7 linked regions of the Ovis aries genome follow. The protein of the gene in region 3 purifies or fractionates together with the protein of the main gene of each other region. This does not show direct contact. Links are inferred from orthologs where the notes say so. Each region holds a gene or a part of one and is shown on either strand. Other genes may lie near its edges. The genes, in order: WDR48, USP12, PHLPP2, USP46, WDR20, NHERF2 and NHERF1.

Region 1 (4,331 bases), on a different chromosome or scaffold from region 3:
TTGCTTCAGGATTTGGAACTTTATTGTCACTGTAAACAATTTTAAATAGTGTATTTCTTTGCCTTCTTATGACAATTTCTCTCTTGTTTTTCAGCCTCCTGGCTTGCAGAATCTTAGTTCCCCACCAGGGATCAAACCTTGGCCTCAGCAGTGAAAGCCCTGAGTCCCAACCACTGGACCAGATTGAGGCCTACCTGCCCCAAGGCCTGCACCACAGAAGCAGAGCCCAGAGCCAAGATCACCGCAGAAGCTGACCAAGCCCTTTGTAACTACTGCCAAAAGCTCCTGATAATCACTAACAAGCTTCCTGACTCCCAATTAGGCAAAGATGCCCATTTGAGTAAATATTCTATAGCGCCCCAACCAACCACCTAATAACTCCAACCATCCAGCAGGACTTTTGTCTTGAGAGTATAAAAATTGGCTATTAACCCACAAAAACTGCCAGCATTCCCTGGTCTGTCAGGAGGTCAGCCCCTCTGCACTCACAGTCCCTATGTTGTCTCTGTTCTTTGTTCTTAACAAATTCACTCTCTTCCTGAAATACTCTATGTCTGGAACTTGTTTTCCAACCATTGCTCAGACTGCCTCAACAGACCACCAAGGAATTCCCTCTCTCTTATTTAATCAGGTACTTGGAGCCTCCTGAAGATGGGACGACCCTCTTTGCCAAACCTTCTACTTCACCTCCTTTCAGGGCAGTTTATAATTCTCCATCCTTTTAGGTACTTCATGGTAAATATACCGGATCCCCTAGCTGCCAACAAACGTTTGAAACGGGTAGGTGCTACTACTACTAAGTCACTTCAGTCGTATCCAACTTTGAGCGACCCCATAGACGGCAGCCCACCAGGCTCCCCCGTCCCTGGGATTCTCCAGGCTAGAACACTGCAGTGGGTTGCCATTTCCTTCTCCAATGCACGAAAGTGAAAAGTGAAAGTGAAGTCGCTCAGTCGTGTCCGACCCTCAGCGACCCCATGGACTGCAGCGTTCCAGGCTCCTCCGTCCCTGGGATTTTCCAGGCAAGAGTACTGGAGTGGGGTGCCCTTGCCTCCTCCGTGAAAGGGGTAGAGGTGCCATCAAAGTCCCCATTTCCAGCATTAATTCTGTCAGCATTTTTCTTCTACTTGGGCCTGAGGAGGCACTAGAGAACAGTGCAAGCCGGGGTGCAGGCCCACAGAGAGCCAGTTTCGGATAGCTTCCTCAGCTCACAAAATGACTCTCTCTCCGGCAGCATTATATGCACGCAACAGTTTTTAAGTGTTTCTCTCATACCACAGGACCGCCACTGGGACACCAGCCTCAGCTACAAGCAGCCCTTGAGGTGAACACCACCAGCCAGGCCTCGACCGGACGGGAAGAGGCGGGACATCCGTCCGGTACTTGCCACTTCCGGAAGTGACGTAGGACTGTCAACATGCAAGATGGCGGCCCATCACCGGCAGAACACGGCAGGGCGGAGGAAAGTGCAGGTAGGAAAGGCTAGCTCGTTGACCTCCCGGGCGTGGCTGGCAGCCCCGGTCCTACATCCAGCAAGCAGATACCTCGGGCCGCGGTCGGCCAGGGTAGCGGCTTGGGGCAAGCAGGACGAGGCGCGGCTGGCGGCGAGGGGTGGGGCCGCGGCGCTAACGGCTTGAAGAAGGGGCGGGGGGCGGCCGGCTGGACCCGCGAAGGCCCAGTACTGGGATCCTTGGACGCGCAGTTCGGAGCTCGGTGTTGTAGGTCATCCGCTGTCTCTTAGGCTAGTGCTTGCGGTGTCGGGCTGGGCTTGTTCCCCGCCCACCTGCTTCCCCCTTCCCTCGTCTGTCTCCCAAGCCCTGTGCCCAGCGGCGTCGGAGCGGAGGCCTTGGGACTGTTGCCCGCCGGACGGGCAGCTGAGTGAGTGGGCCCGTGCGGGGGCGTGGCGTGGCTGCTGAGCCCTGCCGGGTTTTTGAGGAGGTTCTGCACTTGGGAACCCCCAGCCGCCTTTTATGCGCGAGCCTTCTCCCCCGCGAGGTGGAAACGATGTGGGAGTGTGCCGGTGTTTGTGGGAGAATTGTAATTTTCATTGTTTTGGAATTTAATATTTTCACCGTTTCTTCATCTTTAGTGTGCATTGCATCCTTGAATTTTTCTCTCTCTCTAATGTATAATATTATTCAGAAGCAAAGAGTTACCTAAGCCTCCCGTGTGTGCTTTATGCCTTCATGAGTACAGTTTCGTTTTGGGTACGTTTGAGTTATTGCTACCTATTGTTTTCGACGACCTGAGGAGTAAAAGCCTTATTACAGGTGTTTACCTGCAGTTCAGTTCAGCTCAGTCGTGTCCGACTCTTTGCGACCCCCTGAACCGCAGCATGCCAGGCCTCCCTGTCCATCACCAACTCCCGGAGTCCACCCAGACTCATGTCCATTGAGTCGGTGATGCCATCCAACCACATCCAACCATCTCATCCTCTGTCGTCCCCTTCTCCTTCTGCCCTCAATCTTTCCCAGCATCAGGGTCTTTTCAAATGAGTCAGCTCTTTGCATCAGGTGGCCAAAGTACTGGAGTTGCAGCTTCAAAATTAGTATTACTGATTACCTGCAGTATGTTGTTTGTAATGGGGATAGTACGGTGCACTTACTCGTTAAACATTTACTGAGCCTTAGTTTGGACCCCAAAATGTGTAAAGAATTGAAAGAGTGCAGGAATAAGTAGCACCCAAGCTTTCTTTATAAAACTCAGCCGTGTATGTAGTGCTACATATAAGTCAGTGAATATTTGGTAATCTGGACAAGGGATTCCTTCATTGAGGTAAGCCCAGGAAATGGCTGTTGGCCATAAAATCTTCTGACTAGTTCACTTCTTTCTTTTATTGATCTCATTGATCAAGTACAGTGTCCTCAGCACTCATTAGATGTTTGTTGAATTGAGTGACATTAACAAGAATCTAAAATAGCATACCCTGTAAGGTGATTTTTAAGTGCATAAGGCAGGTGGTGAGAATGTATGCTCCTGACTAAAACGTGAGCTTAATTGTAACTTAATTGTTTTCTGGTGTTTAGAAAACTTTCCTTACTGCCCTAAGGTAGGGCAGTGCTGCCCTACATTCCTTAGGGTAGTAAGGAGAGTTAATCAAGTGTCTTAGTTTCTTGGATTTAGACTTAAAAGGTAATATAAAAGTACAGGATGGGGAAAGTATAAGTTAGCTGCGGCATGTGTGGTAAAACTGAATGTTTTAATAAGCTGACTATGAGCCATGGTATGCAGAATGAGGGAGAATGATAAATTCACTCTTCACCGATCAGAGTGCAAAACTGGAACTTGGGAATCAGTACTTAGCGCTTTGTTCTTAATAGGTATAGCAGTCAGATTGGTGAAGTGACTTGAAACTGATTCCTAGGAAGAGCATTCAAAAGAACTTTCTACTATCAGTTGGCTGCCGAGAAAATTCAGTGAGTCTTGTTTGAGTCTTTCAGAATTTGTCCCTAAGGTATAGAACCAATATGAGAAGGCGCAGAGAAGGATTTTTATATAAATACAAGGGTGAGCTTTCGATCATGAAAGTGTTTTTTAAACCAGTGCATGTTCGTTGCAAAACAAAACAAAAGCCACAAACAGTACAAAAGTATAAATGATTATTGTGCTCCACTCTTCACAGAAAACTGTTTTGGAGAGTGTGAGATATAATCTAGGCCCAGGGTTTTTCACTCTGAGTGCTATTGACCTCCTGGGCCAGATAATTCTTGATTGTGGGAGGGCTGTTGTTTTGCATCATCCTGCCTTCCCACTAGACACTGGCACCTTCCCAGCTGTGACAACCAAAACTGACTCTAGTCATTTTCAGATGTCCTCTGGAGGACAGAGTTGTTGGTTGAAAATTAGTGTTCCATACTTCTTTGTAAATGTGTACTCAGCTTAGGTGATTTTTTTTTTCACTCTAAAATGGAGTCACGGTATTCACTGCTTTGTCTTTTGCTGTTTGTTCAAAATTTTAAATATGCATTCCCTTTATTCAGCAATTCCTTGTCTGAAAAATTGTTTTATGAAAGTACATATGCATCTATCTTTTGTCATGCGAGGATGTTTGTTATAGAATGCTGTCATTGTGAAAAACAAAAATCAGAATGTCTATCAAGAGTCAATTGACAGATAAGTTAGGTACTTTCGTATAGTAGATTACTTTGCAATTAGAAAGATAGGCTAGATTTATATTAAAGAAAAGATGTCCAGAGGTAAGAATAGGAAATCAGCATAGCATGGTCCCATTTCCACACAGGAAATAATGCATTTTCAAAGTCTGCAAGGATATTAACAGTGATTATCTCTGGGATATTAGATTATGTGATTATTGGTAAGGCAGGAAACAA
Region 2 (3,872 bases), on a different chromosome or scaffold from region 3:
ATACACGGAAAAACTGTACAAAAAAGATCTTCACGACCCAGATAATCATGATGATGTGATCACTCGTCTAGAGCCAGACATCTTGGAATGTGAAGTCAGGTGGGCCTTAGAAAGCATCACTACGAACAAAGCTAGTAGAGGTGATGGAATTCCAGTGGAGCTATTTCAAATCCTGAAAGATGATGCTGTGAAAGTGCTGCACTCAATATGCCAGCAGATTTGGAAGACTCAGCAGTGGCCACAGGACTGGAAAAGGGCAGTTTTCATTCCAATCCCAAAGAAAGGCAGTGCCAAGGAATGCTCAAACTACCGCACAATTGCACTCATCTCACATGCTAGTAAAGTAATGCTCAAAATTCTCTAAGCCAGACTTCAGCAATACGTGAACCGTGAACTCCCTAATGTTCAAGCTGGTTTTAGAAAAGGCAGAGGAACCAGAGGTCAAATTGCCAATATCCACTGGATCATGGAAAAAGCAAGAGAGTTCCAGAAAAACATGTATTTCTGCTTTATTGACTATGCCAAAGCCTTTGACTGTGTGGATCACAAGAAACTGTGGAAAATTCTGAAAGAGATGGGAATACCAGACCACCTGACCTGCCTCCTAAAGAATCTATATGCAGGTGAGGAAGCAACAGTTAGACCTGGACATGGAACAACAGACTGGTTCCAAATAGGAAAAGGAATATGTCAAGGCTGTATACTGTCACCCTGCTTATTTAACTTATATGCAGAGTACATCATGAGAAATGCTGGGCTGGAAGAAACACGAGCTGGAATCAAGATTGCCAGGAGAAATATCAATAACCTCAGATATGCAGATGACACCACCCTTATGGCAGAAAGTGAAGAGGAACTAAAAAGCCTCTTGATGAAAGTGAAAGAGGAGAGTGAAAAAGATGGCTTAAAGCTCAACATTCAGAAAACAAAGATCATGGCATCTGATCCCATCACTTCATGGGAAATAGATGGGGAAACAGTGGAAACAGTGTCAGACTTTATTTTTGGGGGCTCCAAAATCACTGCAGATGGTGATTGCAGCCATGAAATTAAAAGATGCTTACTCCTTGGAAGGAAAGTTATGACCAACCTAGACAGCATATTCAAAAAGCAGAGACATTACTTTGCCGACTAAGGTCCATCTGGTCAGGGCTATGGTTTTTCCAGTAGTCATGTATGGATGTGAGAGTTGGACTGTGAAGAAGGCTGAGCGCCGAAGAATTGATGCATTTGAACTGTGGTGTTGGAGAAGACTCTTGAGAGTCCCTTGGACTGCAAGGAGATCCAACCAGTCCATTCTGAAGGAGATCAACCCTGGGATTTCTTTGGAAGGAGTGATGCTAAAGCTAAAGCTCCAGTACTTTGGCCACCTCATGCGAAGAGTTGACTCATTGGAAAAGACTCTGATGCTGGGAGGGATTGGGGATTAGAAGCGGAAGGGGACAACCATGGATGAGATGGCTGGATGGCATCACGGACTCGATGGACGTGAGTCTGAGTGAACTTCGGGAGATGGTGATGGACAGGGAGGCCTGGCATGCTGTGATTCATGGAGTCGCAAAGAGTTGGACACGGCTGAGCGACTGAACTGAACTTTTTGTTTTTTTTTCCTTCATGGAAATGCTTTTGATATTCTTTAAATGCTTTTCGTGTTGTATCGAAAAAGTCATCACAGACCATCTGTGCATGTGGAGTCACTTGGTGGTGGAGGGGTCCCAGGGACCAAGTCTGACGTCCCTCCTGTTGCATCCCGTCAAGGGAGGCAGCCAGCATGAGTGATGTGTCTTACTCTAGCTCACTGATTAAGTAGTAACTTAGATCATTATAGATGATTCATTCATAAATCAGAACATGGTTAAATTTGGAGGATAAATAAAAGAAGGTCATAAGTGAAGGCTCAGTTTGGCATGTTGGACTAATATTTTTTCTTAAATGGTAGTTTTTTTCTTAAATAATTAAACAGTATAGAGATCATGTCCTTTACCAGCCATTCTCATTCATCCTTGTCCTGTGTTCTTTTAAGAATTACTGTGTATGGCATAGTTTGTTTTATGCTTTACACCATGGACATGGGAGCCTGGCAGGCTACAGCCCATGGGGTTGAAAGAGTGGGCCACGACTGAGTGACCAAACCACCCCCAATACCAGGATTCGGGGAAGTGATGGGATTTCACATCACACCAGCCTTTGCCAGTAAGGAGAGCAGCTGTAGGTGCACTTTGGTATTTTCTTCTAAATATAATGAAGGGTATTGATTCAGCTTCCTTTTGTAAACTTGTATGACTCAAGTAGTTTCTTTTCAACTTGGGGAAAAAGGTTCTTTATATATTTAATAATACTGATAATAACCCACATTTAATTCTTTCACTTTGGAGCAGTAATTTACTGATACCTAAAGAAATCAAAGGTAATTAATTCTCTTATTTTTACAGATAAGCAGCAAAGATGAAGATTTTTTAGACCTTTCTGTTGACGTGGAACAAAACACATCAATTACTCACTGCTTAAGGTAAGCGTGGAATTATTTATTTTGACAGTTAATGATTATCTTTGGTTTTTAGAATATCTTTAAATGAATGCATCATTTTCTGGTACAGGCAAAACTAATTTATTTTGGATTTTACACAGGGGTTTTAGCAACACAGAAACTCTATGCAGTGAATACAAATACTACTGTGAAGAATGTCGCAGCAAACAGGAAGCACACAAACGGTAATTTAGTGTTTTCTGTAATTCATAGTGATTCTTTGGCCATGGATGTTCTAACCAAAAGTGATCTCTGGCAGTTTGCATTGAGTAATCATCCTTTATTTTATCACCAACTGTTAAGACTCATTAGGTAATTACTAGACAAACACATGAGGTAGTTACCAGGCAAACAGTGCTCAACTCCGGGCTGCCTTGACTATCCACACTTGGTGAGTGTTTAATCGCCATAAACCAATACAGTGAGAGGATTCTGCTTTGAAGCTTTCCTCGTTGTGTAAGCTTTCTCGTGGTGAGGAAAGAAGAGGGGAAAAGTGCTTTCCTCACGCCCACTCCAGTCTCCACTGTTCCTCCATAGGATTCACGCCTTCTCTCAGTGTGTCACCATGAGGACAGTACTCTGGTATCAGAAAATGGACTTATCATCACCCTGATTATTTTACTTTTTGTTTTGAGGCAGCCTCAAAGTCTTGTGAACAGTATACCAAGAATGCTTTTCACCCTTAACCATTTGAGAGTGGGTCCCTGCTGTGATGTCCCACAGTTCTGAGGCTTCGGTAGTGGTATCCTGCCAGCAAGGACGTTTCCCCTGTACCATGTCCGGCCACGTCAGGAGAGCAGCGCTGAGATGTTACTGTTGTTGTAGACCTTACTTTAGCATCACCAGATGTCCCAGTAATGTCCTTTATAGGAAAAAAGGGTCTAGTCCAGAGGCACACGTTGCATTTACCATTTGTGTCTCTGTCATCTTTTTATACTGGGAGCAGTTCCTTATCAGTCTTTGCTTGACTTTCACTCTCTTGACACTTAAAAATTACAGGTTAGGTATTTTACAGAATGTCCTCCTTTGAGTCCATCTCATGTTTTAATGTAATGAGGTTTAGATTTTGTATTCTGGGCAGGAATCACACAGAGGTGAGGCTGTGTTCTTTTTAAATGGTACACGATTTTGATACGTGTCATGTGTCGGGGCCCCCACGACCGCTCCTGGATTTGATGGTTCCCTAGAAGGACTCATAGGATTCAGCGTCTGTAGTCCTGCTCACAGCTAAGGTTTGTCACAGGGAACAGTGACAGGTCCGATCAGCAAAGGGGAAGCCAAGCCAGCTTCCAAGTGTCCTGTCCCCGTGGAGTCACATGGACACACTTGTTTCTCCAGCATCGAA
Region 3 (3,872 bases):
TTTATTTATATATATATATCCCCCCCACACACATACATATATATATACATATATGTAAATACTACAATACTACACAATCATGAAAACAGAGGGCTGATTGTAAAGTTACACTTAGATTTTTGTCTAAAGGGTTTGTTTGATGTGCCCCTAAACCCTGCATTATTCAAGGACCAACCATATCTACTACTGAAAAAACTCCATGTTTAAGTACACCTGTACAGGGAACTTCTTGGTGGTCCAGTGATTAGAATTCAGCGTTTTCACTGTCATGGCCCCAGTTCGATCCCAGATCAGGGAACTAAGATTCCCCCAAGCCCCATGGCATGGCCAAACAAAACAAACAAAAAGCAGACCTGTGCATTTCAAACCTATGTTTCCCAAGAGTCAACTGTATAACTTCCTCAGTAAAGAATTCTCTATAAACAGAATGGCCTCAACAAATATGAGGCCTTTTACATTGAAAAATAGCCCTGGGGCAAATAAATCACTATTGAAGTGAAGGGCTTCTCATTCTGGAATTAAGGCAGCACAAGGTTTTAGACTAGAGACTGGTAATCTTCTGTAAAGGGTTAAGCATTTAGTAACATTTTGGCCTTTGCAGGCCATGTGGTCTCTCTCAAAACTACTCAATCATTTTGCCACTGTAGCAGGAGAGTGGTTAATATGCAAACGAACATGGGTGTGTTCCCATCAAACTTTATTCAATTAAATTTGAATTTCATATAACTTACCCATGTCAAAATTATTTTTCCTCTGATTTTTTTAAAAACCCAACCTTTAAAAAATATAAAAACCCATCCCTCAAGGGCCACACAAAATGAGATGTAGGCCATATTTACAGGGCTGCAGCTGGCCAACCCATGTTGCAAGACTATTACTGAAATTCTCTTTTGAACATGCTTGCCCACCCTAACATCCTAGCATTCTGCAAAATGCCTCTGATTATTATAACATTCATTTAGTGAAGCTCAAATAATCCTGCAATGCCTTTTTATGCATATCTCAACCACTGAAGTGCTGACTGCAAACTTAAAGCTAGGTCTCTATGAACCTCAAACTCCACTTGGCAGAGTGGCTGAGGAACACCTCAGATGCCACTGTTCTTGTATAGCTCAGACAAGAGCTACAAGAGGAAACACAGGAGGCTGGGTAGAGAACTCACTGTTCGAATTCGCGTAGAGAGTTCGAAGCGAGAAGCCACTGAGCGTCAGCTCCCTCAGCTGGTTCCGCTCACAATGCAGCTGCTCCAAGTTGCAAAAGGAGCTAAGATCTAAGTCAGTCAGCTGATTGTCCCGCAAATCCATGTGGGTGATGTATTTATTTCCCTCCAGATTCTCAATAATCATGGTTTTTAGACGGTTCATCCTTAATATTCAGAAATAAGAAAATCATTAGAAATAAATTCTACTAAATGTGCTTACCAAAAGAAAAAAACAGGAGAGTATGTTTCTCTTGTCTCTTTCCTAAACAACTTAAGAATTTTACTCCTTGCCTCATTGTGCAAGGTACTAGGTAAATAACCACAGATAGTTGTACCTTGGGTTCTTTGTCTACAAACTAAGTTAGAGACTGTGCAGATTGGCAAATACATGTACAAATTAAAGAGAAAGAAAAGGGGACCATGTCCACAAACAGTTAGCCTAAAACCTGCATCCAAATACCTAGTAAGGTTAGGCAGGGATGAAGGAATAAAACAAAGAAATGAGAAGATGAGCATAACCTTTGGGGCTGGGACTAGCAGGACGGTCATAGTGTAAGTATCACATGAGAGCAAGAACAAACAGCTACGCTGCCTCTCACTGCTCTGCCTACTGTCCAGTGCCAAGATTCCCATTACATTAATTAAGGGAGAGGAAAACAGTCTGTTATCTATATGGAATAGTTCAAGGGCAAGTAAAAGAAAACGACTTCTTTGGCTTCTTCTATAAGGTATATGATTTAATGCATGCAGGCTTATTCTCATTTTCCCATTCTTCAATAAATTTTTGTTACTACGTCTTTATGAGGGACATCAATGGCTCAGTGTAAATAACAGAACATTCAGTATGTGTGCTTTACTACTTTCGTTTAGGAAAAGATTACAAATATATAAGTAATTTTAGAAAGGAATAAAACTCTCATTAAAAAATATTACTAGTAAAACTGGTAACATTTCAATTCTAATATCACAGATATCAAGAAGAAACCCAAGGATTCAACAGAAAAATGGTCAAGTTTATTATGGAAAAATACAAACCACCAATAAGCATACAAAAAGACACTCATCCTAATTCGTAATAAATGCTGATTAAAATGATGAAATACTGTTTTTTACCTACTACACTAACAAGGAAGAAGACTGCTAAAATCCAACATTGGTAAGGATGAAAGGAAATGGGAATTCTCATAAAACGTTGCTAGGTGGGTAAGTCAGAACAACCTTCATCTCTACCACATGGTACACCTACCTCATCCATAAATCTCTCTACCATTAAGTGAAAAATGAAGCTTTACTATAGCTTTAAAAACATACATTGTTCTAAAATCCTAATGGTTTCAAGAGTCTTTATTTTTAAAAAGAAAATGTAAAGGAACATCAGAGGTTAGGCAAAAAGAAAGCACAGTGAACAATGACCAAACAGACTTCCCTGGTGATGCAGTGGATAAGCATCCACCTGCCAATGCAGAGGGCACAAGTTCGATTCCTGTTCTGGGACACATGACACAGAGCAACCAAGCCCGGGCACCACAACTACTAAGCTGGTGCTCTAGGGCCCACGAGCCACAACTACTGAGCCCGCATGCTGCAACTATTGAAGCCCATGTGCCTAAAGCTTGCACTATGCAACAAGAGGAGCCTCTGCTTGCCACAACTAGAGAAAGCCCACGGGCAGCAGTGAAGACTCAGTGCAATCAAAAATGAAAAAGAATGACCTCACCTCAAATCCACATGTTTGATATGGCTCATCCGGTTCAGCACCCCCAGGTTTAGCACTTCCACTCGGTTTCCGGCCATAAACACTTTATCTAACATAGTGAGTTTCTCATAAACCTCGGGAATTTGACTAAAGTTGTTGAAGGAAATTCCCAGGGAGGACAGCTGTTGTAGATTTCCCAGTTCTTCAGGTAAAGTAGTCAGGAAGTTGCCATCAAGACAGAGAGTCTGAAGACTGCAAGAAGAAACCAACACAAAACTCCCTGATGAAACGTTTTAATTGGAATGGATAAAACTAGAATTATGGATTTTTACTTGTCACTAATTTATTATGAGTCCAATATGATTAGATGCCCTCAGTCTATCTATAGAGATTTACTAAGATGACTCAAATACAGATGGTCCCTTTAACATCAAGGGTAGTCAGAGCCTCTGTGGTTAAACTGAGGGGATAGTCTCTTTTGTAGGCAAGTAACTGCTGCTGATTAGAATTCTCATAATTACATGATCTATTTCACTGCAAGAGCTGATGGAACTAGCTTCATTCCAAATACCAGACAAGTTCCTTACACTGCAAACAAAGGAAAAAAACCCAGTAAAAATCAGGTACTTACTTCAGCAGACTGCCAATCTGACTCGGCAGGTCCTGGAATCCATTACAGGAAAGGTTGAGCTCAGTCAGGGTAGGAATTTCACATAACAATACAGGAAATGACCCAAGCTTATTATGGGACAAGTTCAGGCCCTTCAGCTGAGAAAATCTAAAAAGCAAAGGCACATTATACTACTGAATGAAAAAGTGATGTTGTAAATGTCCATCAAAGAATTTGTTCTGCGTATATTTACTGAACATTCAGTATGTGTCAAACAGTATGTGTGGCACAGACACCAGGATGACTAACGCCCAGTCTGAGCTATCAAGGAAACCAGGTCTGGTGAGATGGGAGTTGTTCTCTCT
Region 4 (4,376 bases), on a different chromosome or scaffold from region 3:
CGGTGACCAAGGTCATGAATGTAAAGAGCATCATGACTGACAATGGTAAAAAGTCAAAGTGAGCTACCATCATTATCAGGATCTGTTTGGAAATAAGATGTAGGCAGAATAACTTAAGCAGGAATTGATGTCTGGAAATCCATTAAATATCCAGAGCCAAGATGACCCCCAACGAAACTTTGTCTCCGTTGTCTTATTTCCATCCCAGGTCCTAGGGACATTAACAATCAATGGTCTTCAACTACTAAAGAGCATTAACACTAAATAGATAATGGAGGACAGGAAGTGAGCTATTTTCCCAGTATGTTCCTCTTGGTTAGATAAAAGCTATCTTCAATTTCATTAATTTCTCCTCTAATTCGATTTGTCATTAAATATATGGGTTTAAGAACTGTCAGGCGTTTCCCTCGTACAACTTCTCTGTTGAAAGCATAAAACTGCAACTTTGTATGAGAACTGTTTTACACCTTCGGAAATGGGCTCCTCCACTTCACAGAATGTAACTGCTAAGTGGTGTAGATTCGCGCTTTGAGTTAAAAACCACGACTGTGTATGCAGGAAATGTGTATGAGCCAATACAATGACCCTCCAAACCTGAAGAAGCTGGGTGGCCCCGAGTGAAGTAGGTTTTTCTAGAAGACGCGGAAAAGTTTGTTTTTCATTCTTTCCAGGTTCCATCGCTCCCTGGACCATCCCTAGTCCTTATCCAGTACTGAGACTTCCCCTTTGTACCTGCTGCTGTCACCCACTGCCCAAGCGCGCCTCGGCCCACGCTCCCGTCCCCTCCCGGCGCCCTCGACCCGGCAGGCCAAGGGCTCTCGGCACTGCCGTGTCCTGACCCCATTTACTTCGTGGGTCCCCGCTGGTGCCATCTAGCTGGAAACCCAGGGACAAACGAAAAGTTGGACGTAGTCACCCCTGCCCCTTGCCTCCTCCACTCGCCGGAACGTGAAAACGCGGGGCTGCTGCGGGCCGCGCGGCCAGAAAGAACAAGTGAAGACAGAAAGCGGCCGCGAGTCCCCAGCCCGCGCGCTGCGCCTTCCGGCGGCCGACACCCAGCGAGGGCTCGGTCTCGCTTCCCGGGCGGCGCCGCGGGCCGGAGCTGGGCGGAGGAGGCCGCCGGCGCGGACGGGTCCGCCCGGGGGACCGGCTGCAGCTGCGCGAGCCGGGGCCTGGCCGCGCTTTCCAGCCGGTTCGGAGTGAAGCAGGACGCCGAGAGAGAAAAAAGAGGAAAGCCGAGCCGGGGCGGCCGGCGGAGGCGGGAGGAGGAGCCGCGGGGACCCGGGCCGGGTCGGGGCCGGAGCGCGGCGGGAGCGCTCGGGGCGTGCGGGTTGCACGCGGCGCTCGGGCCGCCCCTCCTCCCGGCGCCGCCGGCCGCGGCCCAGGCTCCCTCGCTCCGCCACTCCCCGCCCCTCCGCTCTCCCGCCCGCCTCCCGCCTTCCCCGCCCTCCCCGCCTCCTCTCCTCCCTCCCGGCCTCCCTTCTCCCAGCCAAACTGAAAGCCGGACCCCAGGCCGCCTCCCCGCCGCCGCCGCCGCCGCGCCCGGCCTCCCCGCGAGCGCTCCACCATGGCCGGTCCTGTTTTCCCCTTGTAAAGATGGCGGTGCGGGATCGCTGTAACCTTTAGACTAATGACTGTCCGAAACATCGCCTCCATCTGTAATATGGTGAGTGGTCGCCGCCGCCGCCGCCTCGAGGGTCGAGCCCCAGGCGTGGGGAGGCGAAGAATGGGAAACCCGAGCTGCACGCCCGCCGAGCGGCCGGTGGGGGTGGGGGCGGCGGGGGCCGTGCGGCGCCGCCAGAAGTTCCCGGCCCCCGGGCTGGGCGGGCCGGTCGCGGCCCGGAGAGCTGTCGGGGGAGGGGCCCGGAGCCCCCCGCCCCCTTCTCGGCCCCGAGACCCGGGAGCCCGCCCGCCCGCGCGTCCCTGAGCCGCTGCGCCTCCGCCCTCGGGTTGCGGTGAAGCGTCTTGGGGGGAGGAGGTAGGCCGAACCCGGACGTCCCGGGGGACCAGGTTGGAGAAGCTGGGGTCGCGGGGGACGCCCACCATGTTCTTGCCGAAGATAAAGCCCTGCCGGACACCCTGACCGCCCTTATCTGATTTTTGAGTTCACTCTTTTAAACTGTATTTAAGATTCACTTTGCAGAGGCAGTCGGTGTGTCTGGAGAAATCTGAAATGTGATAGAGCTGTAAAAAAAAGTGCAAAATTGTGGTCAGGGAAGTGAACTTATACCTGGTTTGGGAAAGCACGGTCATTTGTTGTGGATGCCTCAGTTTCCCCATCTGTGAAAGGGGAACAAGGTCATAAGGCAGTGACATTTAAAGGTCCTGAGGATGCAGGCCGTCTGGGGGGCATGGAGGAGGTCTCCAGGGTTATCCTGCCTGTCACTGTAGACCCAAGTGTGGACCGGTGGGTGTGGACGCAGCAAGAGGACATTGCTGGGCTCTGGTGAGGACGGGGCCCACGACATCGTGATCACTTTAACTTGTATTTCTCCCATTGCTTTGCCTTCTGCAGGAACAACCTCCAGCCCTTGGGTCTCAAGGGTGCCTCCTGCTGGTACTTCCACTTGTCAGAGCCTTGGGGACCAAGGCTTGCCCCCTGGAGTGAGGCACTGCCTTCCTGTGCACGATGAGAGGGTGTGTGCTTTGCCTTGGCTGTCCAAGGACCAACCCCCCACCCCACCCCCATCCTGTCTCCCCTTCCTCCAGCTGGATGGAACACATGCTCTTTTAATACCAGTTTGGGGAAACCTCTCAAGCTAGTAACACAGGCCGCTAAAGGGAATCTGAGGAGGCTTGATTGAAAAGCCTGGGAGTAAGGTGATCTGGCTGCCCTTCCCCCATCACCCAGCTTTTCAAATCTTCTGTCCCATATTCTCCTGCAAGATTAACACATGGGAAAGGAGCATTAAGGAGCCATGTGTTACTCAGGGATGGAATCAAGACCCACTGGCGCTGGCTTCAGTTTTCAGCGCTGTTGGACGTGGCTACTGCTGTGGTGGGCAGAGCAAAAGCTGGGCCTTCCCGGGGTGACAGCTGCAAAAATACTGGCTCAGGACCAGTTAGACGTGGTGGGTGGCTCCTGGCCGGTTTCCATTTCCTCTCTTCTCCATGCGGAGACAGGCCCCCTGCTCCCTCCTGTCGAATGGCATTAATGTTGCTTGGTGCAGTGAAAAGGTGATGCCTCTCTTCCCGGTTTCTCTGTCTGCTAAGACCAGCTCCTGAGGGGAACTGTGAAACCAGAGCAACTCTAACACTCTTTCGTGCCTGCTCTGGTGGCTTTGGGCTTACAGGGCAGTGGAGCCGTCGGTGGTGGTGTTCCTGCCCTGCTTGTTTGTGGTGACACCTCTGTACTGAAGCAGGCTGGAAACTTGAGAGCTAGCGTGTGCCAAGATGAAGCCAGCCTCCAGCTTTTTTCCTTTTCTGCCCTCAGTGCAGCTGGGGCTTCTTGGCACACCTGAGCAGAATGTCACAACCTGTTTCCAACAAAACTCAGCTAGAGAGGCAAGCTGCAGGGCAGACGAGAGGAGTGGGCTGTGGAGAATTGACATCTCATGTGAAGTCCTTAAAAAGGCACCAAACTTAGGATCATCACCCAAGTGAGATGAGGAACCAATAATTCACAACTCGGGAGTTGTACATTCCGATATAGACCCTGTGCCTAGAGTAAGGGACATAAAGAGTCTGGGCTCTAAAGTCAGACTTCCTGGGTTCAGGGTTTTGGTTCGAACATATGCTAGTTTTTTGTCCCAGAACCAGTTGCTCTCCTACTTTCCTAATCTACAAGAAGGGGATGATAATGGTTCCTCCTCATGCGACTGTTGTATTAAAGGAGTTACTGAGCCTACTAGGTAGCAAGTACTTACTGAGTATCACGTGTTGCTGATCAGCTTCATCTTTCTCATTATTATGTCATCTTCAGTTGTTTAAAGGACAGTGTCTTCTTGGACCTGATGTAAGCAGCTGCTAAGATAAATGCTAAGATAAATGTTTGTTTATGCAAACCAAGCCCATACAGGGAGACTGGGGTGGGAGTCCTTAATCCCGCCCCCTTATAAAAGGCTGCTCTGGTGCCCTGGTCCCTCCCAGTCTTGCTTCCCACAGAGGAGGCTGGGTGATGAGACTGCTGTCTTTTCACTTGTTCAGACATACAGTTTCATTGGACCTCGCTTAAGATTCTTCACTCAATGATGAATTGTTTCCAGGTAGGTCTTCTGTGGGTCTCTCCTCACCACTTCTTTTCTCTCTGGGGGGCTCTAACTGATCCTTCCCAGTCCCAAACTCCATTGGGACCAAATGGAGTTGTAGTAAGAAGTGACAGTTGACAGTTGCGTCTTTTTTTTTTTTTTAAAAGCAGGTCATCTGGCATATTTTAA
Region 5 (3,872 bases), on a different chromosome or scaffold from region 3:
ACAGATAGCTGGAGCCTTGGGAGTATAAACAGGGCTTAGTCCTAGACACGTCCAGGACGCAGCAGACCTCTCTGCTCCTACTGTGCTTTCTCCACAGACCTGCCATCTCCTCTCAGGGACGCGATTACTATCTACATGCTGACCACTCCCAGAATTCACCTCTAGTCTGAACCTCCAGATCCACAGACCCAACTACCCCGGCCTCGCAAGCTTGACAAGCGGGAAAAGGAACTCTGACCTTTCGCTCTGCTCCAGCACCTGCTCCTTCCCCTCTCACCCAGTGCGCCTAGTGAGCCAGAAACCCAGCATCTGCTCATCTATCTCTCCAACTCCGTCTCCAAGATGGAGCCAGAGTAATTTTCAAAAACACCACGCAGACCACCTCTGGCTCCCCTGTGCGAGATTCCCTGCACGGAGGCCAGGCAGCAACCGTGGCCAGGCCCTCACCCGACACCCCTCTCCCAGGGCTCCTGGCCCCGGGTGCATTCCCACAGGGGCTGCCCCTGCTCTCCCTCCTGCAGGGACACTCCAGCTCCAGCTTCGTACCTGGGGGGGCCTTCTCACGCGAGGCGAGGCTCAAAGCATACCACCTCCTCCGAGACATGCCCCACGTCCCTGTCCATCAGGCGCTGTGTCTGTCTCTCTCCCTCAGGCCCACTGTCTCCTCTGACATCACAAGTCACCACCACGTGCCGTGTGAGTGTGTGTATGTGAGTGTGTGTGGCATTGTTCACACTTCTCCCCCCTCTGGAGGGGAAACACAGGGCAGGTGTTCTCTGCACACGGTCAGCCACCAAGGTCTGCAGAATGAATGAGGAAATGGTCCCAACCCCAGGTCAAGTCCTCAGCTCTCTCCTGGACAGTCACTAGAGCCTCCTCACTCATCTTGCTATCTTCATTCCAATCCGCCTTCCCCAAGTGCTGACAAGAGTTCGAAAAAAACACACTTGATCCTATCACTTCCTTCATAAAGTAAAACCCCAAAGGTTGCCCCACAGCCTCCAGTGTCAGATCCAAATTTCTCAGCATGTCACGAAAGGCTTTTGCAATCTGGTTCCAGTTCACCTGTCCAGCTTCACCTCCAGCCACTCCAAGGCCCACGCACTGAGGTCTGGACTCCTTTGTTGGCCTCATGTTCCTCCACATGCTAAGGTGTTTTCTCCAGCTTCGAAGGCCCTTCTCATCCTCCTCCAACTCCTCTGCATCTTTCAAACCCAGGTCAAATGTCACCTTCTGCAAGCTTTCTCAAACTTCCCTCGCTGAATTTTTGTTTTTATTTTATGGTATCTGGTACATCCTGAAGAGTGCAATTAATACTCACCTCTCTTGCTACTTTGTTCGTAACACACACTCCACATCCTCCCTGTCCATCTCACAGAAGAGTGAGCTCCAGAGGTGACAAGGCCCATATGGCAACCAGCTATGATGGGGCTTCCTATCTATGGCCAGTAAGGATGTGTGGAATTAATTTCTGGATCTAAGCATATCATCAAATTGCTGCCGGGTCTGGACGACTCACTTGCCCTCTCTCTAATTCCTTGTCTGCACAGTGGAGACAACAGCCCGCCCTCTCGTGCAGAGAAAGCAGGTAAAATACTCGGAAACCTCCAAGTCTCACATGAATGCAAAGCACGGCCCAACAACTGCTTCGACCACCATCCCTGGCACCCTCTGAGAAACAAACCTCCAATGACCCTGTCTCTAAGACATCCTGACCAAAATCTGATGAGAATGCTATCCGTACGACAAAGAACACCCTCACTGTGAAGGGCAATCAATTTCAGCCTCGAGCTGTAAATGCCAAGTTGGCATTAAACCACACACAATCCTCTCTCCCTTTGAACAGCCACTTTCCAAATAAAATGTACAAGAGTAGGAGGTAACTCCGCTTCACTCCCTGAGGGTGGGGAGCTGCAGCCTGTGGCTCCTGGCTATCCTGAGTGAGGAATGGGGCGAGCTGAGGCGATCGAGTGCTCTCGGGGCCCTGGGGCCTCTGCTGCACGCCACCCCCCTCCAGCGACGGCACACAAATCCTTCTTGTTCTCCAAGAGGCATGCTGTGCCATCCACAGCCGGGCGGCCTCCCGACCTTGTTTACCAACCACCCTTTACATGGCTCCAGTCCCTCCCCGCCGAAAGCACGTCCCCACCTAAATAAAGACCCTGCAGGATGCCAAGTTCGCGTTTCTACTGAGAGTGCAGGCAAGGGTAGTTTTGTACCCCCACTCTCCCCACCACCAACCTCCCCCCGAATCATCCAGCCACTTAGAAATCACTCCCTCAGATGCTGTTAATAAAATGTTTAGGGAAACAGAATAATTTTCTGCTTAAGATTTTTTTTTTTAAACAGAAAATGGGATTAAATACTTTTCCTCTCTAGTTTGTCAATCCAGATGGCAAGTTTTGTTCCAGTCAACCCAGATGAAACTAGAAGAGGAGATAGCATGGTTCAAAAGATTTCACCAAATCCATTGGCAAAGTCCAACAGGAGCACTGTGGATGGATACTGGATATACATGGACAGCATATACCATAGGGACTGCAAAAGAATCAGAATTTTAACTGCAATTTGTCAAGTGGAGTATTCTTTCCCAAACAAAATTATTTTCTTAAAAGCCAGAATCTGTAACTTACTTCTGTTTCAAGTTAATAACTTTTAGACCATGCAACAATGCAAAACCTCCTGCCCTTCCCGACAGGGGCTCAGGTGACCTGACCTCATCACCCCAGGGCTGAGGTTACAAGGAGACTGCAGCCAGGGCCTCTAACTCAGCAAGCCGACCTCGTCCGCTCCATTTACTAGGAAAGTCACACTGAAACAGCAGAGGAAGTGCATCAAATATGTAACGGCAAGACTTCAGACTAAAAAGCCACTCCAAAAGCTTTTAAAGATGTAATCCGTCCGGCAACTTCCATCTGCCCAGATTTAAAGGTTCTGACATGTTTCTGAACAAACAGCTCAGATCTCTTGGGCTCCATCAAGAATGAGACTGGAGACACCAGGAATCCCAGGACACAGCACAACACAGGCAGGAGCTTGTGCCATGCCAGCCAGTTTCAAGGGCCAGGACTTCTAACCACATCAGAGGTGATTTTAGAGCAAACGCTTTCAAGAGCAAGAGAGCAAATTCTTAGATGTATGCCTGTCAAACACACACATTAACACTTTATCTACCGTTTGCGAAAACTAAGGAAATATTAGCAAGTTCTTTGATCTGCTTGAAATTTTCTGGCGATGTGAACACAGTTTAGAATTCTTTATCTTCTTATTTAAATTATAAAGATCAAGCCTTATCTCCATTATAAAAACAATTTTTCTTAAAACACCTGCTATAGACACAAAAATGCACAAAATAACAGTTAGCCCAATAAAGAACAGGTAAAAGTCACCAAGTTAACGCACCACATTTAAACTTGGGTCATACTAGGTAGGACAGCTGAGGATGGAAAATGGGCTTCACTCAAAGAGTAAAATTATAAGGCCCATACCCTCGGTAAGAACGTATACATTCTTATAGGGGTTCTTAACAGCTAAGACAGGGTGCTACTTACTTCCTCATTAAATAGTTTGCTAGTTTCTTTTTTGATTGGGTCTATAAGCTGGACTTGGCCTGCGGAAAAGCCCACTAGGAGAGAGACACTTTCTGCTGTGGCTGTTAGGTGGTTGAAGTCATGACAAGTAGGCTGTGTTCCTTTGTATATCCTTTTATCTATTGGTTTACTCAAGTCAGCAGCCTGGAGGAGAAAGAGAAAAATACACACGGTAAACAGCACATTGAGATGAGAACGCTAAGTTACACTATTTTATACTCCATTATGATGCTCAATCTTAAAAATTAAAATATTAAAATTTTAATTTTTATAAATTTTTTT
Region 6 (3,872 bases), on a different chromosome or scaffold from region 3:
CAGCTCCACAGATGCCCGCCCCCAAGGCCTCAGGCCCCCCAGCATGTGAGCAGCAGCACTGGAGGTGGAGGGGCACCCACTACCTCAGTGTCCTTGTCTAAGCCGGGCAGGTCACTTCGGGACGAGCACACGGAGCCACCATTGAGCTGGGAAACCAAGGGTAAGGTGTGGCTTCAGGGGCCCACCCAGGAGACTGTGCACACGTATGTGCACACATGGACACAAGTGTGTGCACACACGTGCACACCCCAGAGCTGCATTTACTCCTGCATCTGGCAGTGGCACTGAGCCTTGACTGCAAGCTGGCGGTGCCCGAGTGCCCTGTGGGGTGGAGTGCGGCTGGGCCCGGACAGGACCCAAGGGGCCTTAAAGCTGGGAGTGACAGGGCCGGGCTCAGTGTCACAACCATGTGACACCAGGACTGAGGTCTCAGGAGGGGCTCCCAGAAGTGCCCCTGAGGTCCCCGAGCCCACCCTGTCTGCTCCCACCCTCTCACCTGGGCCGAGCTGGTCCCGTTGGTGACCGGCGATGGCAGTGGACCTGTGGGGACAGTATGTAACTGACCACTCGGGTCCCCGATGCTTCACCCCAGCCCTGGGCCCCAAAGCAGCCGCTCACCTTCCACATGCTCCTCGGTGGGTGTGACCCGCAGCCGCTTGAAGTGTTCATCCGTCTCGGGGTCCACCACCAGCAGCTGGGCCTCGTCCTCCCGCGCCTTGATGCTGGCCACCACCTCTGCATGGCGCAGCCCCTCCACATTCTGCCCGTTCACCTGCCACCAGCACAGGGTCAGTGCTGCCTGGGGACTGGTCCCCACCAGCCCCCCAAGCCACCCGGACAGGTGTGGCATCAAATATTCATCAGTGCCGTCACCAGCTGCAGCACCAAGAAGAGCACCAGCTCAGGTTCCCGGAATCTTCCTCCTGCAGAGGACCTGGGGCCCAGGCACACAGACGTGGATAGATGCACACAGACACACCTACAGGCACGCAGGTGCAGACACACACACAGATACACGCGGACACATACAGGTGCACAGGCACGCGCACACACGGACACACCTACAGGCACGCAGGTGCAGACACACACAGATACACGCGGACACACATACGGACACACCTACAGGCACGCAGGTGCAGACACACACAGATACACACGGACACATGGACACACCTACAGGCACGCAGGTGCAGACACACAGATACACACATACAGGCGCACAGACACACACATAAACAGACACACCTACAGGCACACAGGTGCAGACACACAGAGATACACACACATACAGGCGCACAGACACACACAGATAAACGGACACACCTACAGGCACGCAGGTGCAGACACACAGATACACACAGACACATATAGGTGCACAGATGCACACGCACAGATAGATAGACACGGACACACCTACAGTCATGCAGTTGCAGACATAGATACACTCGAACATGCACAGGTGCGCGCACACACATATGGACACACCTACAGGCATGCAGGTGCAGACACACACACAGATACACACAGACACAGGCGCACAGACACAGACATACCTACAGGCATGCAGGTGCACACACACAGATAAGTACACACAGACACACAGGCCTGCAGGCGCACACACATAGATAGATACACATGGACACACCTACAGGCACACAGGTGCAAACACACAGATACACATGGACACAGGTGCACAGGCGCACATGCACACACACGGACACACCTAAGGCATGCAGGTGCAGACAGATAACACAGGAACACACCTACAGGCACGCAGGTGCAGACAGATACACAGGGACACATACAAGTGCACAGACATGCATGCACACACACAGATAGACACGGACACACCTACAGGCACATAGGTGCAGACACAGATATACACGGACACACCTACCGTCACGCAGGTGCAGATACACAAGGACACACACAGGCACACAGAGGCACATGCACACACACACATAGACACGGACACACCAGGCATGCAAGGGCAGACACACACACAGAGATAGATACACATGGACACAGCACGCAGGCACAGACACATATACACACGGACACGGATAGGCAGACACGTAGGCGTACACACACACACAGGCACAGACACACAGAGGCACGCACAGCAGGACACAGGTACACACAGGGCAGCCCGCTCCCCGCAGCCCCAGTGGCAGGTACCTCTATGAGTCGGTCCTGGGCACGGAGACCAGAGTGGGCAGCAGGGGAGCCGGGGTCCACTGAGCGGATGTACTGTCCGGGCCGGGACTTGTCGCTGTGCAGGTTAAACCCGTAGCCCTGGGGGCCCTTCCGTAGGTGGCAGAGCCTTGGGCGCAGCTCCCTCAGAGGCCCGTTGGCATCCTGCAGGCGTCGGGGACACCTGGTGAGGTTCCAGCTCTGACCTCCTCCCATCTGAGAGATGCTGACGCCCGAGGCCTCCAGCCCACACCCACCCCACACCCCGCTGGGTGCCAAGGCAGCGCTTGGCCTCATACCCCCACCTGATGGTAGCCCCTCGTCTCAGAGACCCGTCCTGGGGTGTGGGGGTGCTTAGGCCACCTACGATGATCCAACTTTGGGATCTTGGACAAAGGCTTGGTTTCCAAACCCCCAGTGGGCCTGTGATGCGATCAAAGGCCTTACAGTGGGATTGGGAGAATCCACTGGGTCGAGGATAGGGCTGGGCGCAGACCCGAGCCGAGGAGGGAGCAGGCGAGGTGAGCTGCCCCGTGTCTCTGTTCCAGGAGGGCAGCCCCGCCTGTTGTTTACTCCGAGTGTGGGTCTGCTGGGGTAGGGCTCCAGCTTTGTTTACACTCCCACAGGTCTCCCTGGGGCTGGTGGCAGCAGCTGCAGCTGTGTTTGCCTTCACATTCCAGAGCAGCTGGAGCAGCCCCCATCCCCACACGCTGGAGCCCAGTGAGCAAGCAGAGGGGCCTGCCTCCCACCTGCCCCTCTGACCCCGGGGGCTCCTGGTGCCCTGAGGGTGCCCACCCACACCCAAGGGCCCTGCCTCCGTTTACCTCTGGCATCCTGCAGTAGGGCTATGGGCCAGGGGGTGCAGGGAGCCGTGCAGGCAGGGGCCAGACCCCAGGACCCCACCGGGGCCTAAGGCAATGACCAGCGCTGAGTGGCCAGCGGCCGCGACGCTCAGTCTAACATGGCGGTGGCCGGAGGGAGCAGGCGGCCAGCAGCTCAGGTTTCCCCAGCGCTTAGGGCTCAAATGTGCGTGCAGGGGCGGGGGTGCTCACCGGGGCCTGGCCTTCCACCTCCCTGTGTGTGGCCGGGGACACTGGGCCAGGTGGGGGGCCACACTTGGGAGAGCCAGCCTCCAAGCCTCCAAGCTCACCCCAAATCCCCCAAATCTGACTGTGGCCACCCTGCCGTGGAACCAAGAGTGCCCTTCCTTACAGGATGGTACCTTGCCCCAGCATGTGGGCCTTCCTACCGGTGGGGAACACCTTCCAGTCCAGCCTGGGCCCCTCCTCCAGGGGCCCGTTCCTGATCCCCAAAGAGTCCCTGATCTCCAAAGCCCCCCAGGAACCCCTGCTGCAGGCCACCATCTGCCCCAGAAATTCCAGGGGCTGGGGCTTCTGCTCCTCCATCCTCCAGGGGATCGGCTGGGCAGACACCCAGGTTCTCCAGGACCCCACAGACTGGGCCCTCTCCAAACACAGCTGCAAGCACAGGTGTGTGGCTCTGAGGCAACTCTCAGGCTGGGGCTGTCAGACCACAGGTTCCGAGGCTGGCCAGGGCCGTGTGGGACCCTGGACGTGTGACATGACCACACCTGGTAGGTGGACGCGGGCCCAGATGGCCGAGGCACCTCACACAGTCACAGAGACCAGACATCCAAACACAGGCGTGCAAACAGGCTC
Region 7 (4,640 bases), on a different chromosome or scaffold from region 3:
TTCTCAGACAGACAGACCAACTGACTGACCTTAGAGCCCAAACTGCTTTATCTCCCTTCTCTCTGACCCTGGTTAGGGAGTGAGAGGTCATCCATTTCCGGGTAAATCAATGCATTGTATGCAAAACAATGTCTCTCTGGTAAGATCTGGGTGGGGAAAGGGCCCACAAGGAGTTTCTGTGTAGCCAAGGTCACAGGTCTTCCCGAGCCCTGACCTCAGCCCTGGGAAGAGGTCAGGAGCTGTGCAGATTGATCTAGAGACACCTTTACTCCAGCTCTGTACACCAGGGGCCGGGAGAGGGGTATGTAAGGTATGTACTGCCCATTTCTCAGGCCGCTGCATTTGCTTTCAAAGCAGAAATCTTGCTCTTGGAGCAGAGTCAGCAGCTCCAACTCAGGCCGATAAGGAAGCTCTGCAGGCAGAGCAGGGAGGAGCCTGACCTTGCAGGGTTCTTCTGGGGCCCAAGGCAGGTTGCAGGCGATCCAGTCACATGGGCTGCTCTGGGCCTCTAGCATTTGTGTTTTTCAGCATTAAATGGCAGTATTTTGGAAAGTACACCCTGTCCACTGTTTCTTTGAGGTGGACATGATGCGGGGGTGGGGGGAGGGCGGCGGCAGTTCATGTTGAAAGGATCGTTATTGTTTGTCACTGACTGCCAAAATCATTTGATCCTCATCCTTAAATGCCCACCCCCCACCAAACTGGTCACCTCACCCTTAACAGACTGCCCCCAGCCTCTGTGACCAGCCTCTCATCTGAAAGTAGGAGCTGAAAGAAGGTTTATTATCTCACGGTCCTAATCATTTTACTTTCTCTGTTGAAAACGTCAGGGCTCCTTTTCCCCAGAGATCGGCCCCCTGACTGTGACCTGCCTCTCCCCTGCCCCACCTCCCTAGCCAAAGGCTGACGCCGATACACAGTTGCCCCTGGGTGGCCTGTCTTCGCTGCGCAGTCCCATTGAAGCCTTGGGCGCTCTGCTGGACCTTCACACTGTCCCAGCGAAGATGGGAGCCCGCAACCCTACTAGCAGGCCCTGCACTAAGCGCCCCACAAACTGGAAAATATTGTTATTCGAACCACTTTCTTGGGTCCGAGGTGGGCCTGGACCACAGTAAAACTGCGGGGACCACGCAGCCCCGGAGCCGGATTGCTTTTCCTAGCAACAGTCGCCCCCACCCTCACCCCCCAACTGGAGATGCACAGTTTGGCTGAAGGCTGTTAAAGCCTCAAGGTCCTTTACCCGAGGGTTGGCGCGCTCAATCCCTGATGCAGGTGGTGGTGGTGGTGGCGGACGGAGTAAGGGGGGTGGAATCAGAACCGATCTTGCGAGCCACCCAGCCCGGTACCAGGAACCCGCCCCGCACCCAGCGCCCCTCCCCGGGCCTGCACTCCGGACACTCAGTAACAAACACTTCCACTTCCTGAGCGCTCTTTCTTCTCCCGCCGCGGGGCGCCGAGCGGAGCCCGGAGCCCCGCCCCCTGGTGCTCCCATTGGTCAGGGTCCTTCACCCTGCCTGAGCGCCTCCGTGAGAGGCCTCTGATTGGCCCGCGGCGGTCCACACCCTCCGCGCGGCCCCGCCCCCGGGGTATGCGGCTCGGGCGGTTTCTGGAACGCTCAGTCGCCGCGCGGGGCGGGGATCGGTGTTTGAGTCCCGGCTTCGGCTCCTCGCTGTTCGCCGCCGCGGCTCCCGGCACACCTGCTCGCTTCTTGGCCCGTCCGGCGTCGCCGGGCTGCCCTGCCGCTCTCGCCCTCGCTTCCCGGCCCGCAGGGTGGGACGCGGAGCTGGACCGGCCCGTCTCCGGACCCCGACCGAACACCGCTGAGCGCCGCTGAGCCGTTGCCAGGCGAGATGAGCGCGGACGCGGCGGCCGGGGCGCCCCTGCCCCGGCTCTGCTGCCTGGAGAAGGGTCCGAACGGCTACGGCTTCCACCTGCACGGGGAAAAGGGCAAGGTAGGCCAGTATATACGGCTGGTGGAGCCCGGCTCGCCGGCCGAGAAGTCAGGACTGCTGGCCGGAGACCGGCTAGTGGAGGTGAACGGCGAGAACGTAGAGAAGGAGACCCACCAGCAGGTGGTGAACCGCATCCGTGCCGCCCTCAACTCCGTGCGCCTGCTGGTGGTAGACCCGGAGACCGACGAGCGGCTGCAGAAGTTGGGCGTCCAGGTCCGGGAGGAGATGCTGCGTGCCCAGGAAGGGCCCGGGCAGGCCGAACCGCCGGCCGCAGCCGCCGAGGAGCGAGGGGCTGGCGGCGAAGATGAGCCGCCGGCCGCCGCGCCGGAGCCTCGCGAGGCCGAGCAGAGCCATCAGGAGCGGGTAAGTGCGGGCCCGGGCCTCGCGGGGAGGCTGGATGGAACCGGGGGGGAATGAGAGTAGTGGGGAGACCCAGGCGCCCGGGATGCCCAGCCCTGCTCCCCGCCTTGTCTTTCTGAAACTCGATCTTCGGAGGCGAGACTGCTTCCGCCCGCCGACTGGGCCAGCTGGCAGTTACAGTCTTGAGGCTGCGTCCCACGACCCCTACGTCCCATCCCCAGGCTGGGCTGGGACCCTGAGCGCCTTAGGGAGTGAAGGTGAAGGAGGGCGGCTCAAGGAAGCCCAGTCTCCCTTTCCTCCACTCTGTTGGTGGCTGTCTGCTCCGATCCTTTGGGACCCCCAATTCCACCCCTCCTCCGAGTGGCCAGCTCCCTCCACGGGCCCCTGGGGGTGGTAAATGAAGCGGCCCGACTTCGAAAAGCCGGAGGAATAACCAACCACCCTCTTTCTTTGTGGAGCTGCAGCGGTGGGAGGAGAAGGGGAGGGGAGGGGGCCCTTTCGCCCCTTCCCCGCAGCCCGCTAGCCTGTGTATCATTAACTTCAGCCCGGTGGACTTCATCCTCCTGAAGTCCAGCGTGACTTCTAAGAAAGAAGCTCCACCATCTGCAGGAGATGTGTGGGGGCGGGGCTGAGGGAGGAGGTGCAGGGGCGTCTGGTCCGGGGGTGGTGGCAGCTCTGCCCCCAGGAGGATTTATGATTCTCAGGAATGTGAGGAGTAAGCTAGCTCCTATCTGGGAGCAGGAGGGAAGACCTTGGAGAAGTGGCTGGCTGTGGGGGTGGGGGGCGGGACAGCAGCCAGGAGGTCACCACGGGCAGGTGGTCTTGCCTGGCACCGGCTGTCTCACTCCAGGCCCTGGACAGCAAGCAGGCTGGTTGCTTTCTGCCCACGCTGGGTGTTTATAACCCCAGCCTGGATCAGCTGCAGGAGGGGCAAGGAGAAACAGGACTTGTACTGAGCCTTCCTTGCCCAGAGAGTGGGGGCGGCCTTAAGGTGAGACTGGAGGGAGGAGAGTCGGGGCCTCCCCTGGGCCTCTTCGGCTTCACCAGCTCTCCACCTGTTGGCAGGGGTGTCCGTGGTACCGGTAGGAGCCTCCCGTGACACAGAAAAGGCACAGTTCAGCCTTTCAGTTTGAAGGTGGAGCCCGAGAGGACCAACTGGTTTGGTAGAAGTGAGGTCACCAGGAGCTGGGAATGCCAAGGCCACTGGGTGACCACTTCCTGCCGCCGCCAAGCTGGCCTTGGCAAGGGTGGGGGTGGGGTCAGAGCACCCCGGCAGGGGGTTGACCCCAGGGAGTAGGAACTCATGATCTCTGGTCCCAGACAAATCCAGTTTGAACTTTGTGCCGAGGGCACCAACTTAGCATTCCTTTTTTTTTTTTAATGGACTTTGGCACTTGCACAAGTAACTCCCCCCTCCCCCGCCAAGTTGCAGTCCTGTTCGGCTGGCTCCTCCCACTGCCCTTTCGGTTTTGCTGCTAGGGGTGGGGGACGCAGAGGCCAGGATGGAGGCTTGACCTTCCACGTGCGCTCCCCCGCCAGGCCATCTGAAAAGCAGCAGAGGTTGGCTCCTGCTCTCTGGGCGACCACAGAATGGGGTTTCCCCCAGGTCGGGGTGTGACCCCTGCATCCATGTGTATGCTTTATCCAGCCAGTTCCTCCAGCCATTCCCTGGGACATCACCAGGCCTCTTGGGATTTGGGGTCAACAAGAGAGTCAGAATTTCTCTGAGCATTGGTTCTGCCATCGATAAAATGAGAGCGCTGGATTCCAGGGACACCTGCCTTCTCTAGGATTTTACAAATAATAATACGCTTGAGCCCCTAGTGGGAGCTGGACTGAGCTCCTTGTGCGCCCAGGCATTTGAATCCCAGCCACGACCCGGGATCTCCCTTAGCCTCTGTGTAGCCGCTCAGCAGTGTTAAGCCCCTCTGGTAGGAAATTCCTGTAAAGTTTGGTATGGTGGGCATGCAGGTGACTCACCCTGTCTTTCAAAAAAACATAAGTTAATAGCCACAAGAGTTCATTGTTCCCCAAGAAGACGGGGGCGGGGGCGGGGTCTGTATAAGGGATGCATACAGCTTTTGCATGTTATTGATTACTTTGAATCTGAATTAACTTATGGGGGCTGTCATGACATCTTCCTTAGTTCTCGGAAGTGGAAAAGGTTTTGGTGGGGAGTTGTCAAGCAGAGAGAGTGGCAGGTGATATCTCATTGGGAGGAGCAGCCTGGGTCAACAACAGTTCAGGACAGAAGGCAAAGAGGTTAGCACTGGTCTTGGAGAAAGGTGTAGGGTGCTTCCAGCCCAGCTCACGTCCACCCCGGGGAGA

The links.
Region 1: the proteins of PHLPP2 (region 3) and WDR48 purify together in Homo sapiens (affinity purification with mass spectrometry; 5 studies listed by BioGRID and IntAct, with this or other methods). This does not show direct contact. The link is inferred for Ovis aries from reciprocal best matches to the Homo sapiens genes PHLPP2 and WDR48.
Region 2: the proteins of PHLPP2 (region 3) and USP12 purify together in Homo sapiens (affinity purification with mass spectrometry; 3 studies listed by BioGRID and IntAct, with this or other methods). This does not show direct contact. The link is inferred for Ovis aries from reciprocal best matches to the Homo sapiens genes PHLPP2 and USP12.
Region 4: the proteins of PHLPP2 (region 3) and USP46 purify together in Homo sapiens (affinity purification with mass spectrometry; 4 studies listed by BioGRID and IntAct, counting the BioPlex papers as one, with this or other methods). This does not show direct contact. The link is inferred for Ovis aries from reciprocal best matches to the Homo sapiens genes PHLPP2 and USP46.
Region 5: the proteins of PHLPP2 (region 3) and WDR20 purify together in Homo sapiens (affinity purification with mass spectrometry; 4 studies listed by BioGRID and IntAct, with this or other methods). This does not show direct contact. The link is inferred for Ovis aries from reciprocal best matches to the Homo sapiens genes PHLPP2 and WDR20.
Region 6: the proteins of PHLPP2 (region 3) and NHERF2 purify together in Homo sapiens (affinity purification with mass spectrometry; 3 studies listed by BioGRID and IntAct, with this or other methods). This does not show direct contact. The link is inferred for Ovis aries from reciprocal best matches to the Homo sapiens genes PHLPP2 and NHERF2.
Region 7: the proteins of PHLPP2 (region 3) and NHERF1 purify together in Homo sapiens (co-immunoprecipitation; 3 studies listed by BioGRID and IntAct, with this or other methods). This does not show direct contact. The link is inferred for Ovis aries from reciprocal best matches to the Homo sapiens genes PHLPP2 and NHERF1.

What each region holds. Positions count from the first base shown.
Region 1 is NC_056072.1:12,379,968-12,384,298, forward strand, and holds the start of WDR48 (WD repeat-containing protein 48), read left to right. Parts: upstream 1-1,405; 5' UTR 1,406-1,424; coding exon of another isoform or gene 1,425-1,472; 5' UTR 1,473-4,331. UniProt on the Homo sapiens protein: Regulator of deubiquitinating complexes, which acts as a strong activator of USP1, USP12 and USP46. Enhances the USP1-mediated deubiquitination of FANCD2; USP1 being almost inactive by itself.
Region 2 is NC_056063.1:32,983,897-32,987,768, forward strand, and holds part of USP12 (ubiquitin carboxyl-terminal hydrolase 12), read left to right. Parts: intron 1-2,432; coding exon 2,433-2,509; intron 2,510-2,628; coding exon 2,629-2,712; intron 2,713-3,872. UniProt on the Homo sapiens protein: Deubiquitinating enzyme that plays various roles in the regulation of the immune response and inflammation.
Region 3 is NC_056067.1:38,912,009-38,915,880, reverse strand, and holds part of PHLPP2 (PH domain leucine-rich repeat-containing protein phosphatase 2), read right to left. Parts: intron 3,676-3,872; coding exon 3,529-3,675; intron 3,150-3,528; coding exon 2,919-3,149; intron 1,366-2,918; coding exon 1,163-1,365; intron 1-1,162. UniProt on the Homo sapiens protein: Protein phosphatase involved in regulation of Akt and PKC signaling.
Region 4 is NC_056059.1:69,051,852-69,056,227, reverse strand, and holds the start of USP46 (ubiquitin carboxyl-terminal hydrolase 46), read left to right. Parts: upstream 1-1,487; 5' UTR 1,488-1,630; coding exon 1,631-1,666; intron 1,667-2,520; exon of another isoform or gene 2,521-2,637; intron 2,638-2,907; exon of another isoform or gene 2,908-4,187; coding exon of another isoform or gene 4,188-4,205; intron 4,206-4,354; exon of another isoform or gene 4,355-4,376. UniProt on the Homo sapiens protein: Deubiquitinating enzyme that plays a role in behavior, possibly by regulating GABA action. May act by mediating the deubiquitination of GAD1/GAD67.
Region 5 is NC_056071.1:64,661,307-64,665,178, reverse strand, and holds part of WDR20 (WD repeat-containing protein 20), read right to left. Parts: intron 3,735-3,872; coding exon 3,548-3,734; intron 2,539-3,547; exon of another isoform or gene 2,367-2,538; intron 954-2,366; coding exon 850-953; intron 1-849. UniProt on the Homo sapiens protein: Regulator of deubiquitinating complexes. Activates deubiquitinating activity of complexes containing USP12. Anchors at the base of the ubiquitin-contacting loop of USP12 and remotely modulates the catalytic center of the enzyme.
Region 6 is NC_056077.1:2,105,614-2,109,485, reverse strand, and holds part of NHERF2 (Na(+)/H(+) exchange regulatory cofactor NHE-RF2), read right to left. Parts: intron 2,359-3,872; coding exon 2,179-2,358; intron 773-2,178; coding exon 619-772; intron 541-618; coding exon 497-540; intron 147-496; coding exon 84-146; intron 1-83.
Region 7 is NC_056064.1:55,979,641-55,984,280, reverse strand, and holds the start of NHERF1 (Na(+)/H(+) exchange regulatory cofactor NHE-RF1), read left to right. Parts: upstream 1-1,617; 5' UTR 1,618-1,850; coding exon 1,851-2,315; intron 2,316-4,640. UniProt on the Homo sapiens protein: Scaffold protein that connects plasma membrane proteins with members of the ezrin/moesin/radixin family and thereby helps to link them to the actin cytoskeleton and to regulate their surface expression. Necessary for recycling of internalized ADRB2.